2 linked regions of the Tamandua tetradactyla genome follow. The protein of the gene in region 1 interacts with the protein of each later gene in a pairwise test. Links are inferred from orthologs where the notes say so. Each region holds a gene or a part of one and is shown in the gene's direction. Other genes may lie near its edges.

The links.
Region 2: the proteins of LMTK2 (region 1) and MYO6 interact in a two-hybrid assay, tested with the Homo sapiens proteins (2 studies listed by BioGRID). The link is inferred for Tamandua tetradactyla from reciprocal best matches to the Homo sapiens genes LMTK2 and MYO6.

Annotation. Positions count from the first base shown.
Region 1 is NC_135349.1:6,212,128-6,220,319, forward strand, and holds the start of LMTK2 (serine/threonine-protein kinase LMTK2), read left to right. Parts: upstream 1-5,081; 5' UTR 5,082-5,362; coding exon 5,363-5,456; intron 5,457-8,192. UniProt on the Homo sapiens protein: Phosphorylates PPP1C, phosphorylase b and CFTR.
Region 2 is NC_135331.1:131,995,610-132,003,837, forward strand, and holds the start of MYO6 (unconventional myosin-VI), read left to right. Parts: upstream 1-5,176; 5' UTR 5,177-5,347; exon of another isoform or gene 5,348-5,387; intron 5,388-5,393; exon of another isoform or gene 5,394-5,517; intron 5,518-8,228. UniProt on the Homo sapiens protein: Myosins are actin-based motor molecules with ATPase activity. Unconventional myosins serve in intracellular movements. Myosin 6 is a reverse-direction motor protein that moves towards the minus-end of actin filaments.

The DNA of each region.
Region 1 (8,192 bases):
TTTATAGAGGCCGCTGCTATTAACTCTCAGTAAGGGCCATTTCTGCTGGGCAGTCACATTCAAAGCTTGACTCTTGTCAAGAACTTTACAAAGTTTAGCTGATGGTTCTTCATCAGTCTGGTCTTGGAGACTCTCAGAAGAATTGTTCTCTGTCTCTATATCATAATCCTCAGAAATTGCATGCACTTCTGCAACAATCGGAACATCTTCGGCAGTATGAACTTCTACAGGACTCTCCTCTTGCGTTTGTTGATTGACTGATTCAGGAGAGTCACACTCTTCATCACATATTTCAATATCTGCAGATTTTTCTGTGGAAAAGGAATTGTGGTCTAGAATTCTAAGAACAGGACTGGGAACCAGGTAGCTCTGATTTCTGTTTATGGCTTTGATTCCATCTGTAAATTTTGGCAAGTCATTTGATGCCTCCGTATCAGAATCATCATCTTTGTTGTCAAAATATTTTAAGTCTGGCTGTCTCATAGAACAGACACTATAACAATGATCAGAAAAAATTCCACTGAATCCATCTGCAATTCTGCTTATTCCAGAGGAATCTGAATAACGAGAAGGGTGAAAAGTCTTCCTTTTTCTTTTTTTAGGATATTCATTCATATCTTTTAAATTTGGTATTAATTCTTAATACTGGAGTAAGAAAAAAGGAATTACAGGAAAATTTCCACAGATGGTAAGAAATGCCTTTTATTTGTGTTTCTGCTGTTATGAAGACTTTTGCTCACTAGTCCTCTCATTGGGATATTTGTGAATTGCATGCAATTTATTATTTGCGCCACCTTCTCCATGGTTGGGCATATCCTTCAGTCAGGCACCAACTTTTACCCCTTTGCAAAGAGAAAATCCGCTTCAAATTACTTGTGTGCCTAGGCTGTACAGTAGCAGGAGGCCAAGGCGCGCCGAGGGCGGGATTAGGTGTGGCCCTGTCGTCGTGAGGGCGGAGGGTTCCGCCATCCCGCCCTAAAACGGCGGCAGGTTTTCGGTCCGCCTCTTGTAATTCTTTTTGTTGAAAACTGGACATTTAAAATCATGTAATGTGGATACTCTGGAAATATATCTCTCCCTTGTTACTAACCAAAGGTTTATTGTTGCTGTTTGTTGTTACTGCTACTGCTATTTGTTTAGTGACTTTCCTGACTAATTCTGTGAAGTCTGTTTTCTTTGTTGTGTGGCCACTAACGTCTCTATTCAGTTAGCTTAGTAGTCAGCTAATGATTGGATAAAGATTTCCTTAGATGTCTCAAACCAATAAGTCTCCCAGGCTTTACTGAGGGGCTATGTGTTCAGACATGCCTTCAATCCTAAGGCATTTGAAAATTATGTCTCAGCCTTTATTCCCTATTTTCCCAGAGCCTCAAGGTTAGTCAGAGATGAGAAATTAGACCCTTCGAATTTTTTTCCTGGGCAAATGCACAGCCCCTACACATACAGATGGCTTTCTTGATTTCCGGTAATATGTTTTTCAGAGCCACCTACTGACATCACAATCCCCAGATTTTTCTTTTAAGTTTTTCATCAGTCAACTGATAACAGCAGCTGAGGCAGCTGCAATGTTGAACAATTGCCACTGACTATTTTTGACAAACTGGGGACAGGGCTGTTGTGTTGAGGTAGCTCTGGGTTAGTCTCAAGTCAGATAAGCCCTGAAAATGGTACTTTTCCAGGGAACTGTCAGAAAAGTCAAATAGGCCAGTCCTCTGGGGATAAAACTCTTAGGTGAGTTTCAACCCTGCTCTGTCCTGTTTGGTTTGATAAAGCTGCCAGAATGCAACACATCAGAAATGGAATGGCTTTTATAAAGGAAATTTATTAAGTTGCAAGTTTACAGTTTATGGCCATAAAAATGTCTAAACCAAGGCATCCAGATAAAGATACCTTGACTCAAGAAAGGCTGATGGCTCCAGAACACCCCTTACAGCTGGGAAGGCACGTGGCTGGTGTCTGCTGGGGTCTTTGACTTCTGGTTTCAAACAGTTTCCCTGGGGGCATTTTCTTTCTGCATCTCCAAACGTCTGGGTCTTGTGTTGCTCTGTCACTTTTGTTCTCCAAGCATCTTCAGATGCCTGTGTCTTTGACTGTGTCAGCTCTCAGTTTTCTCCAAAATGTTTCCCCTTTTAAGGGACTCCAATAAACTAATCAAGGCCCACCTTGAATGGGCAGGGCCACATCTCCAGGGAAGTAATCTAATCAAAAGGTCACGCCCACAACTTGGTTGTCATATCTCCACAGAAGCAATCCAATCAAAGTTTCCCACCCTAAACAATAGGTCTGGCCTCACAAAATTGGATCAGGATTAAACCATGGCTTTTCTGGGGTTCATAATATTTTCAAACTGGCACATGTCCCCTTCAGTTGACTGCTAGGCTGTGGTTTTTCAAAGCTGCCATGGAGGCGGGCAGAGAAGAATGAGAATAGGGCAAGTTAAGTGCTACACCACTTGCTGTTCTTACTGAGATTCAGCCATTTTTCTTGAATAAATGCTTCTTGTGTTGCAAACTTTTTGTTAGTTTCCAGAGTTCTGAAAAAGTTGATTTTGACAATTCTGGTGTGTCCTCATTGCTTTTGCTGTGGCCCTTACTCCTCCATTCTAGAAGGGCTTCTCTTCATTATTATTATTATTTTTTTGTATGCTGTATGGTGGGGGTCACATTTCATTCTTTTTCCATGTAAGTATCCCCTTATCACAGCACCATTTGCTGAATTTTTGTTTGTTTGGTTTTTCATTTGTTTGTTTGCTTGTTTGTTTGTTTGGGAAGTGTATGGGCTGGGAACTAAACCCAGGTCTCCCGCATAGGAGGTGAGAACTCTACCACTGAATTACCCTTGTACCACCTCATTATCTTTTTTAAGAAAAGATTTTTAAAGAAGTTGTGGGCTTACCGAAAATAAACCACACGTAAAATACAGGGTTTCCCTATACTACCCTATTATTAACACCTTGCATAAGTGTGATATATTTGTTACTTATTACCTTTTTTAAAATGTCATTTACTTAAGTGTAGGGGTATATAACTAAATTCTTAACAATGGCATGCAAAATTCCTGAATATTTAACAATTGGCTTTCACAAGCTGGTACAAGCTGGTTCCAAACCACCACTGACAGGAGCCTGGTGGACGTGCCCATTTGATCTAGCTCAGCTCTGCAAACCTTTAGAGTGGTCACTGGGCCCCAGACCTCAATATGTGAAATCTCTTCCAGAACTAAAATGATTCCAGGTCCCTCAGTATCCCGCCTTCAACAGAGCTTGCTGAGAGGATAGATACCGCATGTAGGGTGGGTGTTTCAAGTGATGGTTTGGCATGGCAGAAATTTTGGAAAAGGCTGATCACATGTGAGAACTGCTGTAGGAACACTGAAAGATATTGCTTCCAATCTTAGAGATCTAATCCCAAATTGTGGCAAGGGTTGTTTCTGGCTCTTAGGTGAAACGAAATAAAGCAAAGAGGTTTTTTTTAAATAAATTCTCTAACTAGAACTCTTCAAGAAAAGGATTGAGCAAAAGTTTGAGTGATGAGGTAGCTAGTTGGTTAAAGACTTCTTTCTATTAGACACGCTCTGAGGAATATGTACCTTAACCCCTGTTCTGTGAAGTGAAAAAGTAAGTTCTTTTTTTACTTCTGGACTTGACCAAATAATAACAAAGCCCACTTTGGGGTTGTAGTCTGATGTGCTGTTGGGCTGCACCTAAATTATAATTAACAACCACAAGGTTTATGAGGCAGGGCATTTGTTGGGGCCAACGCAGCTGCAAATAACCAGAATCTCTTCCCAGAACATGGCATGAGCACACCCTGGCTTCCTCAGACTCAGAGTCTGCAGCTTCCTGATAGAAGTAGAAGCATAACAGGGTGATTGTGTGTCTTTTGAAGATTTTTGCCTTCCTTGTTTTTCCCAGCACTCAGCCATGGACAACTTTAACTCAGTATTTCACATTCCAGCCATTTGTTTACTTAGCTGTTTATTGGCTTGCCTTAATCATTCAACAGCTGTTCCCTCGGCATTAAGCGTGTGTCCAGCGCTGGGTTAACACCTTAGAAAGCCGGCACTGAGGATGGGCATTTGGGGAGTTTGGAGAGTTGGGGAGGTTACCCTGCTTGCAATCAATGGTCAAGTCCTGTCTGATAAGATTCAACCATTCCCTCTTGTGCACAGCCCCACTGAACCACAAGTGTTTTCTCCAGGAAAGCCCAGCATTTTTCCGACCGCAGGCCTTTGACCACTATGTTATTTCTGCCTGGAATGTGCTTTCTCTACCTTTTCTGCAGGACCGTGGCCTCTCCTCACCTTTTTGGTGGGCAAAGGGCTGCACCTGGAAGCTGACGCACCTCCCTGTGTCAGGACTAGGCTCCATTCCTTTAGAGAACGCCTAAACTATGCCAGGCCCTGTGTCAGACCCTAGGGACCCCCAGTTGAGCTGGGCACAGTTCCTGCCCTCGGGGAGCTTACAGTGACAGAACAATACTCTCTGGGAGCTCAGATAGCAGAAAGGAGGCGGAGTCGCTTCTCCCGCCGATTCGGGAGGGGCCTTCTTGAATGTTGCCTTCCATCAGGTGAGTCTTGAAGGTGTCTGCCAGGTGGACAAGAGAGGACAGGAAGGGCATTCTTGGCAGAGGGAACAACTTGAGCTAAGGAGCTGAATCAGTGGGTGACCAGAGGAGAGGCATTCCGTTTTTACTGAACTGAAATAAAAAGCCCAAAGTTCTTTGGCTGATAGCATGTGTAGGTCAATGTAAGGGGATGAGCCCAAGACAGTTCCATTATAGGTACGTTATAAAATCTTAGAAAAAAATTCAGGATGGAGTATAGATGTTTTTTATTGCCTCCTTTATACTTTTCTGCATTTTTAAATTTAAAATAATTGTCGGAATTACCTGCTGCCCACTCACCGCTCGGTCTGCAGGGGGCGCCCCGGCGGCCACCCCTCCAACCGTCGGGGTGATGGGCGGGGCTTCCCAGGCCGCTGCGGAACTGACGATTGGCTGACGGGGCCATCTCTCACGGCATCCCGCCCGCGCTCTACGTCACATGACGCAGCCCATCATGGCGACGGCATCGCGGCTGACCCGGCCCGCCGCTCCGCAGGGCTGCTGCCGTTGCTGCTGTTGAGAGGCGGCGGCGGCGACGCGGGCGGGCGGGAAGGATGAGGTTTCTGTGGCCCGAGCGGTGGGCGCGGACCAGGAGCCGGGCTGAGGTTTGGGCGAAACAACGTGTGCACCGGAGCCTCCCGCGCGGGTGCTGCTGAGGCAGCTGAGGGAGGTAGGACCGATTGACTGACGGACCGATTGACGGTCGGACGGTCGGAAGGCAATCCGAGAACCGGTCCCGAGGCCGCGGCGCGGGCGAGATGCCGGGGCCGCTGGCGTTGCTGCTGCCGCCGCTGTTGCTGCTTCTGGCCGCCGGCAGTGCCGGGGCCGCGCCACTTCCGCAAACAGGTGCAGGTGAGCGGGCCCGCGGCGGGGACAGGGCTGCGGGGCCGCTGAGACTGGGGTGGCCGAGGAGCAGGGCGGCAGGCCTCCGCGTCGCGGGATCCGAGGGCCTGAGGGGGCGGGAGGCCGGGGAGCGATCAGGGAGATTTCTGGTGCAGGGGCGTGGGTTGGGGGGCGGGCTGCCTCTGGAGGGCCGAGGCGGGGGCGAGGCGATGCCTTTGGGCCTGGGGGTGGGGTGGCAGCGACCGACCCCTCCCGGAGGAAGCTGCGGTACCGGCTCTGGACCTGTTGCCTACAGGCCCTTCAGCCTCCGTCTCTCTTGCTGGCGTTTTGCTTCCCTTTCCAGATGTCACCTGCCTCCTGTGCATTTCTCACATCTTATAATAAGAACCATTTCTTAGCCCAAATCACACTTAAGTGCAAATGACTTGGAGAGCCCGGAGTTTCGCTCCCTGCAACTTGTTCAAAAGTTGTAAATTGATTTTAGACGCTATGCTTTTTATTCGAAACGAGTCTCCGGGGATAAGAAGGAAACAGCTCAACTGTAAATATTTCTATTTTAGGAAGCCGGTGATTAGAGTAGCAGCCTTTGAATAACTATTAGACAAACTCGTGCAAGGGTGATTTAAGTTACTATTTTAGCTATGTAAGTGTGCGATTTTTTTTTCTCTCCCCATTTTCTCAACGTCCTTTTCATTTGGGGTTTATTTTCCTGACTCACATTTCGACCTAAGAAAGCATGCTAAGCCAAGTTAGATAATATTTTTAAAAAGGAAAATCTAGGTTACTTTGCCATTACCATCTGCTGCTTGTCGTTGAAAAGGGGATACACTGACACTTAATGGACTCAGGATTTTAGAGTTAGAAGAAACCTTAAAGGAAATTTAATCCAGTCTCTTCGTTTTGCAGTTGAAGATACTGAGGTCTACAGAGTCAAATGACCTACCCAAGGTGACACCGCTAAAATTGTAGACGGAGCCACACCTAAAACCCAGGTCTTTAGATTACCCTAGTTGTGTGGTTTTTCTACTTTGTCACTTCAGTCTTTTAAGTGTTTAGGAATACTCTTGGGATCAAGAGTTATTTTAGAATAATGTTAATTGGATACGTGCAGAATGTGGAAGTGCTGTTTCCAGTAAAGTCTTATTTTTCAGACAGATTTGTGATGAAATCTATATATAATTACTCTTGCTCAAAGCTATTCTAGGTATGTCATTGAGTGTCCTTACTAGTGAATACTAAATGTTATCACTGCACAATGTAGCTCTAAATTTTTGCCACTGCCTTAGATCAAATATTTGTAAAGTCCAGCCCAGGTAGGAGAAAGTACCTGGGAAGCTATGAAAGTCTGTATGTATGGAAGATAATGAAATTGATATTGAAATTGAAAATAAACTCTAGACTAGATTAGTAGATAAAGAGTATTTATGTGAAGGGTATTAAGGAAGTTTCCAGATAATATATTAATCAATTTTTCGAATTCTGAAAAATCTATCCTTTGTAGGACTTATTGAATTGTGTCTGCCTATCAACTTCTTACACATTTTTTATACCATTCTTTTACTTTTTTTATGAATCATAAAAAAACTAAATTTTGTTGGCATTGTAGAACAAAACAATAAAAAATTAATCCATAGATAAAAATATCAAATCTTGACATATAGCATGAAGTACATTTGGTAATTTATAGCAACTTTTGCCGATTTTCCCTTTGTATTCTGATCCTTTGAAGGTGTGTGATTAGATGTGTCGCATATGGATGATAGATGCCTAGAGTTAAAGTCTGTGGAAAAGATACACCGAATTGAATTGATTTGGAGGTTTGTCTTTCCATCCAAAAGTGATTATTATTCCTGGGCTCTTGAACAGGATATGTTAGACCAATCCTGATAAGTGAGCTCACTTGTTAAGAAAGGAGAACCCCTCTTGAATATATGTAGTAGATAAAAGAGCAGTTAAATGTTGAAAACGTAACCAACAAACTTTTGATTATCTAGGGGCCTGTACTTCATACAAAGATGGGGCTATCCATTTCCAAGTAAGGATAGACCCATTGCCTGGGGTCTTTTGCCTCCTTTATCATTTTTACATAAGGTTCAAACTGGTTAATAATGGTGCTTCAGAAGAAGTATGCTTGTCAAATTTAAGGCTGAAAAGAAAACTTAAGTTTATGATATCTTTGTCATCCAAAATCATTTGTAGGTTTGGAGGCTGATGAAGATATTTACACATTCAGTCATAACGCAGCTATGTAAACCTGTGGATTTACACTCACTCATGAGGCAACAAGGCATTTCTTGGTTGAACATATTTTTGGAACCTCTCTTTATTGTTCTGAGATGCCCTCATGGCTTGTCTGGGACCCTCTTTTCTTGAGACTCTGTTTTTCTGCTAGGACCCTGGTTTTTATGTAAACTAAGGCCTTGTTGGGTCACAGGAGGAAGCTTACATAAAGGGAGAAAGTTCACTTTCACACACAGCTAAATTACCAAACTAAGATTACAGTTAAATTCTTTTCTTCAGATTGTAGTTATGGGATCATCTCGTAGAAAACATTTCTAAGTCTTTTGTAGGATTCTCAAGTTTCAGGGACTTGAAATAAAGATTTGACTTGTGTATGTATGTGAAGGCATTCCTATAAGCTCGTAGTTTGTAATTAATAATAAGATAGTGGTTAGACAAGGAAACCCACTTCTATTGTTCTGCCACATATTAGGTCACCAAGTACAGAGGAAGCTTTTAGCAGTT
Region 2 (8,228 bases), on another chromosome or scaffold:
TAACCATCACAGAGCCCTATAAATATTTAATTAGGAAATCAAAGCTGAGAAAGTTACAAATATAAATGTATAATAAATTGGTTGAGTTTTGGGAGCAAACAACACAAAAGCACCACGATTAAATGACAGGAGTATATGCAGTTTCTTAGAATTGTCAGCTTTCTTACTAGTTGTTCATTCATCTGTCCCATTCAGTCAGTAGTAATAATAATGGTAGGCACTGTTCAATAAGTGCTTACTCTGTCAGAGTAACTCAGCTTGGCACTAGAGACACGAAGACAGACAAATCTTCTACCCTCCCCTCAAGAAGCTTACTGTCCAGTTGGTGGATGGTCACAAGTAAAGTGAAGTAACATAGTGAAATAAGTATTGGAAGAGCTGTTTGCAAAGGGTGCTATCAGAGTGACGGGAAAGAGCACCAAATTGCTACTAGGTTTTGGAATAAGAGGGTTTAGGGAAAACTTCTTGGGGTGAGGGTAGGGGGACACGTGCTTTCTTCTGAAGGATTAATTGACTTAGCTGGGCAATGTTCCAATGCAATATATAGCATAGCTGTCTGTTCTGCTGGGACATGCAGGCACTTCAGAATAGCTTGAATGTAACAAACAACATATGGGGAAAGGCAGACGCTAGAAATGAGATTGAACAGGTAAGTGGGGTTAGGATAGTAATCCAAAATCAAGTGACTCCAAAGACAAGCAGGTACTGTGTGAAGAAGTCTGATTGGTGTAGGACAGCTCTGTGGGATCTACAAAGCCAATGGCAAGGCATCCACATTCAATTAGAAGAAAAGAGACTTCCGGAGAAGATGGCGGCTTAGTAAGACGTGCGGGTCTTAGTTCCTCCTCCAGAAAAGCAACTAAAGAAACAGAAACAATACCAAACAGCTCCCGGAGTCACGACAGAGACCAAAAAGACAGCGTACCCCATTCTGGAACAGCTGAACGGGCAGGGAGAATCTGCTGCGGTGAGATGCCCGAGGGGCGCACGTTTTCCCGGCCGGGGTGGCTGGCGACTGGGGTCCCCTCCACGCACGTGGCTCCCCGGTCTGACTGGAAACGTTGGATAGCGGGGCCCTCCCGTCATGCTTGGCATTTCGGGCCAGCTGGGCAATTAGGACCGGCACTCTCCCAAGCCGCGGCGGCCAGCGACCCCCGCCTCCACGCGCGGTTTCCCTGGCCGACTGCCGTGCAGACAGACGAGCGCCACGAGCGCCACCTACTGGGCAGGAAAAGAAAAACAGAGCCCAGAGATTTCACAGAAAAACCTTTCAACCAGCTGGGTCCCACACCCAGGGAAATCTGATCAAATGCCCAGACACCAGCAGAAAATAATGGATGACGCTCGGAAAATTGAAGATATGGCCCAGTCAAAGGAACAAACCAATAGTTCAAATGAGATACAGGAGCTGAGACAACTAATGCTGAATATACGAACAGAAATGGAAAAACTCTTCAAAAACCAAATCAATAAATTGAGGGAGGACATGAAGAAGACATGGGCTGAACAAAAAGAAGAAATAGAAAATCTGAAAAAACAAATCACAGAACTTATGGGAGTGAAGGACAAAGAAGAAAAAATGGAAAAAACAATGGATACCTACAATGGTAGATCTAAAGAGACAGAAGCTACAATTAGTGAACTGGAGGATGGAACATCTGAATTCCAAAAAGAAACAGAAACTATCGGGAAAAGAATGGAAAAACTTGAGCAGGGGATCAGGGAACTGAATGACAATATGAAGCGCACAAATATACGTGTTGTGGGTGTCCCAGAAGGAGAAGAGAAGGGAAAAGGAGGAGAAAAACTAATGGAAGAAATTATCACTGAAAATTTCCCAACTCTTATGAAAGACCTATCTTTTGTTTTTGTTTTTTTTCTTTTTCCTTTTATATATATATATATATATATATATATAATTAGTATTATTATTTTAATTCTCTTCTCTATATTAACATTCTATATCTTTTTCTGCTGTTTTGCTAGTTCTTTTCCTAAATCGATGCAAATGTACTAAGAAATGATGATCATACATCTATGTGATGATACTAAGAATTACTGAGTGCATTTGTAGAATGGAATGATTTCTAAATGTTGTGTTAATTTCTTTTCTTTTTTTTGATTAATAAAAAAATTAAAAAAAAAATTAGAAGAAAAGACTATTCACCATTCTAGCTAATCAAAAGCTAAATCAAAAAGGGTCTTATAAACCATCTAAAGTAGTTTGGACTTTATCAGTAGAGTGTCATTATAAGACATTAAATAGATGCCTAGATAATAGAATTTTCATTTTATAAAAGATAAATCTGATGATGTCGAGGAGATTGGATTGGAAAGGGACAAGATTGCAGTCTGGGAAACTGGTTAGGTGGGCAAGGCAGTTGGCAACACCTGTGATGTGATGGTGGCCTGTGTTAATTTTCCTGGTTTCTCCTGAACCACTGCATTATTTGCTTGAGCAGCCAAAGAAACTAAAACATAGCCTGAAATTTAGGTAATGGTTGTGTCTTTGAAGAGAAATTGGGTACACGAGAAATAATATGGAACTAGAAAGAAAGGGACTCAATAATTGATTGGAAATGAGGGCAAAGAGGGAGAGAAGTCCCAGGTTTTGGTCCCAAAATTGGTTAATCATGAAGAATTGTCAGTTGTATCATTTTCTATTGGTCTGCCAAGGCCTTTTATCCTCAATCCAAAATGAGGTCTCACCAAAGGAAGTGATGTTTATTTGGCACAAAATTTATATTTTAGGTAGCTCATTATCTAACTTAACTTGTATGGTCAGTTTACTTGAACACCATAATTACAGAGAATCTTGAATGGGGCAGGAGATCTTGTTGGTTTGTACAGGTTAGTGTGATACCCTGATACATCCCAGAGAAATCTGGACAGATAATAAAAAAGTATTTTCAAAGTCCCCTTGGGAGAATAGATGGGGGGGAAGGAAGAAATATTCAACTTCCTTATCTGGGGAACTTCTGATATTCTCGCAAACAGTGGGAACAACCAATTCAACAGGCGGAGCCCTCGATCTTGGGGTTTGCCCCTATGAAACTTATTCCTGTAAAGGAGAAGATAAGCCTACTGATAATTATGCCTAAGAGTCACCCCCAGAGAATATCTTTTGTTGCTCAGATGTGGACTCTCTCTCCAAGCAAACTTGGCAGGTGAACTGACCGCCTACCACTCCGCATGGGACATGACTCCCAGGGGTAAAAATCTCCCAGGCAACATTGGACCTGACTCCCAGGGATAAGCCAAGATCCACAACATGGAATTGAGAGAGTCTTCTTGAGCAAAAGGGGTAGAGAGAATTGAGACAAAATAAAGTTTTAGTGGCTGAGAGATTTCAGAGTCTAAAGGTTATCCTGGAGGTATTCTTATGTATTATATAGATATTCCTTTTTGGTTTATGGTGTATTGGAGTGGCTGGAGGGAAGTACCTGAAACTGTTGAATTGTATTCTAGGAGCCTTAATCCTTGAAGATGATTGTATAACTATGTAGCTATTACAATGGGGCTGTGTGATTGTGAAAACCTGTGTCTGATGCTCCTTTTAGCCAAGGTATGGACAGATGTGAAAATATAGGGACAAAAAATAAATAGGGGAGAGGATAAGGGATTAAAAAATTGGGTAGACTGAAATACTAGTGGTCACTAAAAGGGAGGGGTAAAGAAGTACGGGATGTATGAGTTTTTACTTTTTTTAATTTATTTTTATTTTTTTATTAATTAACGGAAAAAAAGAAATTAACCCAACATTTAGAAATCATACCATTCTACATATGCAATCAGTAATTCTTAACATCATCACTGAGTTTTTACTTTTTATTGATTTTCCTGGAGTGACGCAAATGATTTAAAAATGATCATGGTGATTAATACACAACTACGTGATGATATTGTGAGCCACTGATTGTACACTATGGGTGGACTGTATGTGTGTGATAATATCCCAAGAAATATTTTTTAAAAATGAGGTCACAGAACTGAAGTGAAACACAGGGATCTTTATTTGCTTCTTTTTCTTCTTTCAAATTCTTTTGAAATCCAGTTTTATACAATTAAGATTTACCTCCCGGTAATATGTAATTGAATTTCTGAGATTGTGGTAAATTATTTCCTTTCTTGGTTTCTCTTCCTCTCTCTTACTTCCCTATTTTAGTGTTAAAAAAGTTGTTTTAGTCATAACAGCTTTCCCATCAAGAGAACTGAGGAGTATCTAGATACCTGAAGCTTGTCTCTTCTGAATTTCCAGAATTTCCTTAAGTTGAGACTTGGCAATGTGGGGAAAAAAGTTATAATTCCCTGTGTATATGCTCTAGCTTTTTTCAGCTAAACATTTAGCATTATAGTCAATAATCCTTCCATTTTCTTAAAAGAAGCTTCTTTCCATCTTAAAGGTGATATTTTCATTATATAACTAAAATTTGCATAGCTACTTTCATATTTGATTTTAAAATATGATTCACAAATACATCACTTATGAAACAGTAAAAATCTAACGACAGAGAAGCTCCAGGCTCTAAAGAGTTAAGTGCTGGGGTGGGAGTGGGTGGGAAAAGATATGCAAACTTTCCATCTCAGACCCTTCCGCAGTAAAAGCATAAAACCGAGTTTGTTTGGAAAGAAGGTCACTACCTTCATTGGGCAGCCCAGCTCAAGCAAAGCGGGAATGGAGGCACGTTCGTAGTCGTTCTTTCCTCTCCCACAAGAGAGACGCGCTGCCGCGGGCCCGGGCGCGGACACCTGGGCCCGGGGCCCTCGCGCAGTGCGTAGTCCTTGCCGGCCGCGCACCCTGCGCTCCTCAACTCCTCTCTGAACAGCTCCTTTCTCTTCGGCTTGAGCATATTCTTGTACTCAGACTACAAGATACGGACTGCGTGTCACCGTATCTAGTCCGGAGGGGACAGACATTCCTTGGGAAAAGAAACAATGAACGTTTCTCGGGGAGAGAAACGAGGCTCTAGGCTCGGCCACAAGTAGCCCCGCGCGGCACTGGAACACCCCTCTCCGAATCCCCGAGGATAGGCGCCGTGCGCGGAGGGGCGGGGTGGCGCGGGCTTGGGACCCAAGCGCCCCCTCCCGGGAGGCGTCCCCGCTCGGCTGGCCGGGGCCCGCGGCGCCCCCGCCCCTTCGGGCGCTCCGTCGCGATGACGTGCGCGGCGCGGGCTGGGGACTCGGTGGGGCGCCGGCCGCGGGCGGAGACGGATCCGAGATCTGTCCCAGCAGGAAGCAAGCAGGAGCCCGGCTGCTGCCGCGCTGTCGCAGCGCTCGTCCGCGTCACCGTCCTCCTCCCCCACCCTAGTCACCTTTTATTCCCGCCCTCCAGCTTCACCGGCGACAGGTAACCCCGCCGCCGCACACCTGCCTCCGCACCCGTGCGGGTGAGTTTGCAGGAGTCTCGGTTGGGGGGGTGGGGCGGAAACGTCGGGACCTCGTTTCTCCCGGCTCTGCTTTGGGGCCTCCTCGGGCCTCCCCGCGACCGACGGCTCATTTCACCTTCCGAGGACGCAGGTGGGCGAAGCAGGTGATGGGTGGGTCGGGCTGGCGGCTGTGCCGGGACTGCGGCGACTTGCAGTGATATCAGAGGTGGCTGTCCTTTCCACAGAAAGACAATAAGATACTTCTTTCATGGGTTTATCATCACCAAGATACTTTTGTGTTTCATCTTTGGCTCCCAGGCAGAGGTAGAACACTCAGATGTACATCTCTGACTTGGATACTTGGCTAGATTCTTTTTTAGGGGGTAAACTTAAAATTCAGTGCAGGCAGAATGCTGTCTGTTCTTGGACGTGAAAATCAGCTTCTATTATGTAGGAGACGAGACTGGGACTTTCTGAAGCTGTATTTTTTTCAGTCTTTAGATGGTTCAGTACCTTGAATTTGTTAATTTTCGTACATGGGACTGAACAAGAGCTTTTTATATTTCTTAATTTCCAAAACTCCAAGATGCTCAGGATGCTGGGATTTTAATTTTAAATGGGAAGTAATTTGATGAAATTATTACTCGAACGTCCGTGTCAGAAATTTTTATACGGCTTCAGAAAACATGTTACATTTTATTTGGCATAAAATATGTGGTGGTGGTGGTGGGATGCGTAAATGCTAATCTACAAATATTAGTGGGGAAATAGCAACACTGACCAAACTTAATCCTTTGTTTGGTTTGCTGTTATGCTCTGATGTTGTAAATTCAGTATATCTAAATACAGTCAGGGTTTGAGAGATTTTAAAAATTAATATTCTTAAGGTTTAGCAGAAACTATCCTCATGCCATAAAATGTGGTTCTTGAACTTGGGTTGATAGTGAACATGGTACAAAGGTTGGCAGCAAGGTAGCATTTCTGTACAAATTAACTGAACTTCATAGATGTCTTGGGTTGTAGTTTTCTAGTTGAAAATTGTTCAGTGAAATTACTTTACTGTCTTTATCCTTAATTTTAGAAACATCACAAATGTTAAAAAGTAGGCTGTAGCTAAACTTGAAACAATGCAGCCATTCAAAATAGCTCACTGACTTTTAATATACAGCTTATTTTGAGTATTTTCAGTTGCCCAGGAATTACATGTAGAGTGAGAAAGAGGTCATTTTAATCTTATGCAGATTTGCTCTTACATTTGTATGCTCTTATTTGACATGCTGTTTATTATTTTGTCAGCTTTTTAAGTTAAATTTTTTGTTATTAAAAATTAATTTTATAAGACAGTAATCAAAGTTATTAAAGACTCTAAAAAGAGATCATGATTCAAAATGCTATGTCATATGTAATATAAAATGATATATGTAACATCTATTTCTCATTAGTCCTAGAAACACGAGCACGAAAATTATAGTGAGCTATTGCAATGTTGAATGTAAATTAATGCAAGGTATTACAAACAGTTCATATATAAACTTTCCACAGTAGTTAAATCATAACCTTTGGGACTTATCTGAAATGGAATTTTTCCCTGTTTATGTTTATGTGATCAAGTTTTAAAATAACAGTGGCCAGGAAATCTGAGAGAGGCTGGAGGCTCTTTTCTCATCCTGTTGTGACTTTGCCTGGAGTCTGTGGTGTATCATGTAGCTCATTGTTTAGACAACTGGGCTCTATCTGTGTTCTAAAGTATAGCTTTCTTCATGAAGTTCTAAAGGTTTTGACCATGTGAAGTTTGAATGAAAGCAAGCACCCTTAAAATTTTAAAAAATTAACCATTTAACTGTTAATTGTTGAGACTTTGTCTTTGATTTGTAAAATGGCAGTTCTAAAAAGAGATTTTTAACCTCTTTAAGTTTTTCAGTTGTATATATTTAAAATATCTTATTTTTTAAATCAAAGATTGAAAAGGCCAAAGAAAAGATTGACGGCTTTAATGGCTGTGATTTCCATAATGAGATACTTCTTAATAATTTGTGAACTGGCTTTAGTAATTTACGAATATCATCTTTTATTAGCATCTGCCATACTCTGAACAGTAACTGAGGTGCTTGATCTTGGTGGTCTTGTCCTATTTTTACCTACGAGGAAACTTAAGCTAAGAAAGGTAAATACTCCTGAGGGGCAAAGTCTGGATTCACACCCAGATCTTTTGACCCTGAAGCCTCTGTTCTTTCCATCAGGTTTGCCTTGATTTCACTTCACTTAGTAAATTGTTCACATAAACCTGCAGAACTGGTATTGTGATAAAGAATGTAATTAGAAGTTTGAAAAAGGCCCTGAGGAGTAGATGTGATAGTCCATGAGTATGGCTCTGGAACTAATTGAGAATTCTGTGTGTCTGTGTCTTCATTCTTGAGTTGACAGTCTTGAACAATTATTTCATGTTGCTTTATCAGTTCTGGTGTAGTCCAAGAATGTTTTACATATTGTCGCACTTTATAGGAACAAGAACTAGACTGAACTCTAATACTGGTCTTCACTGTAGGCAAAATGAGTAGTATAATGTCTCTGGTTAGGACAAAACATCAAAGTTTTCCATGTAGTAGCTGTCTTTGGATATTATATGATTAACTCTGATCCCAGGAAATAACCTTGTTTTCGTATAATGATTAAATTGTTGCCTGTATTATTAGGTCAAATCTTTTTATGACCCATATTTATTTTAGGAATGTCCCTTGAGTTATAATAGAGATAAAGGACAAAAGTGAGCATATGAAGTTGATCATTTGTTACAAACTAGAATTCATACATTTCAGTAGTTGGATGGAGTTGAGTAAATGAACAGAAAAGGGGTAGGATGGC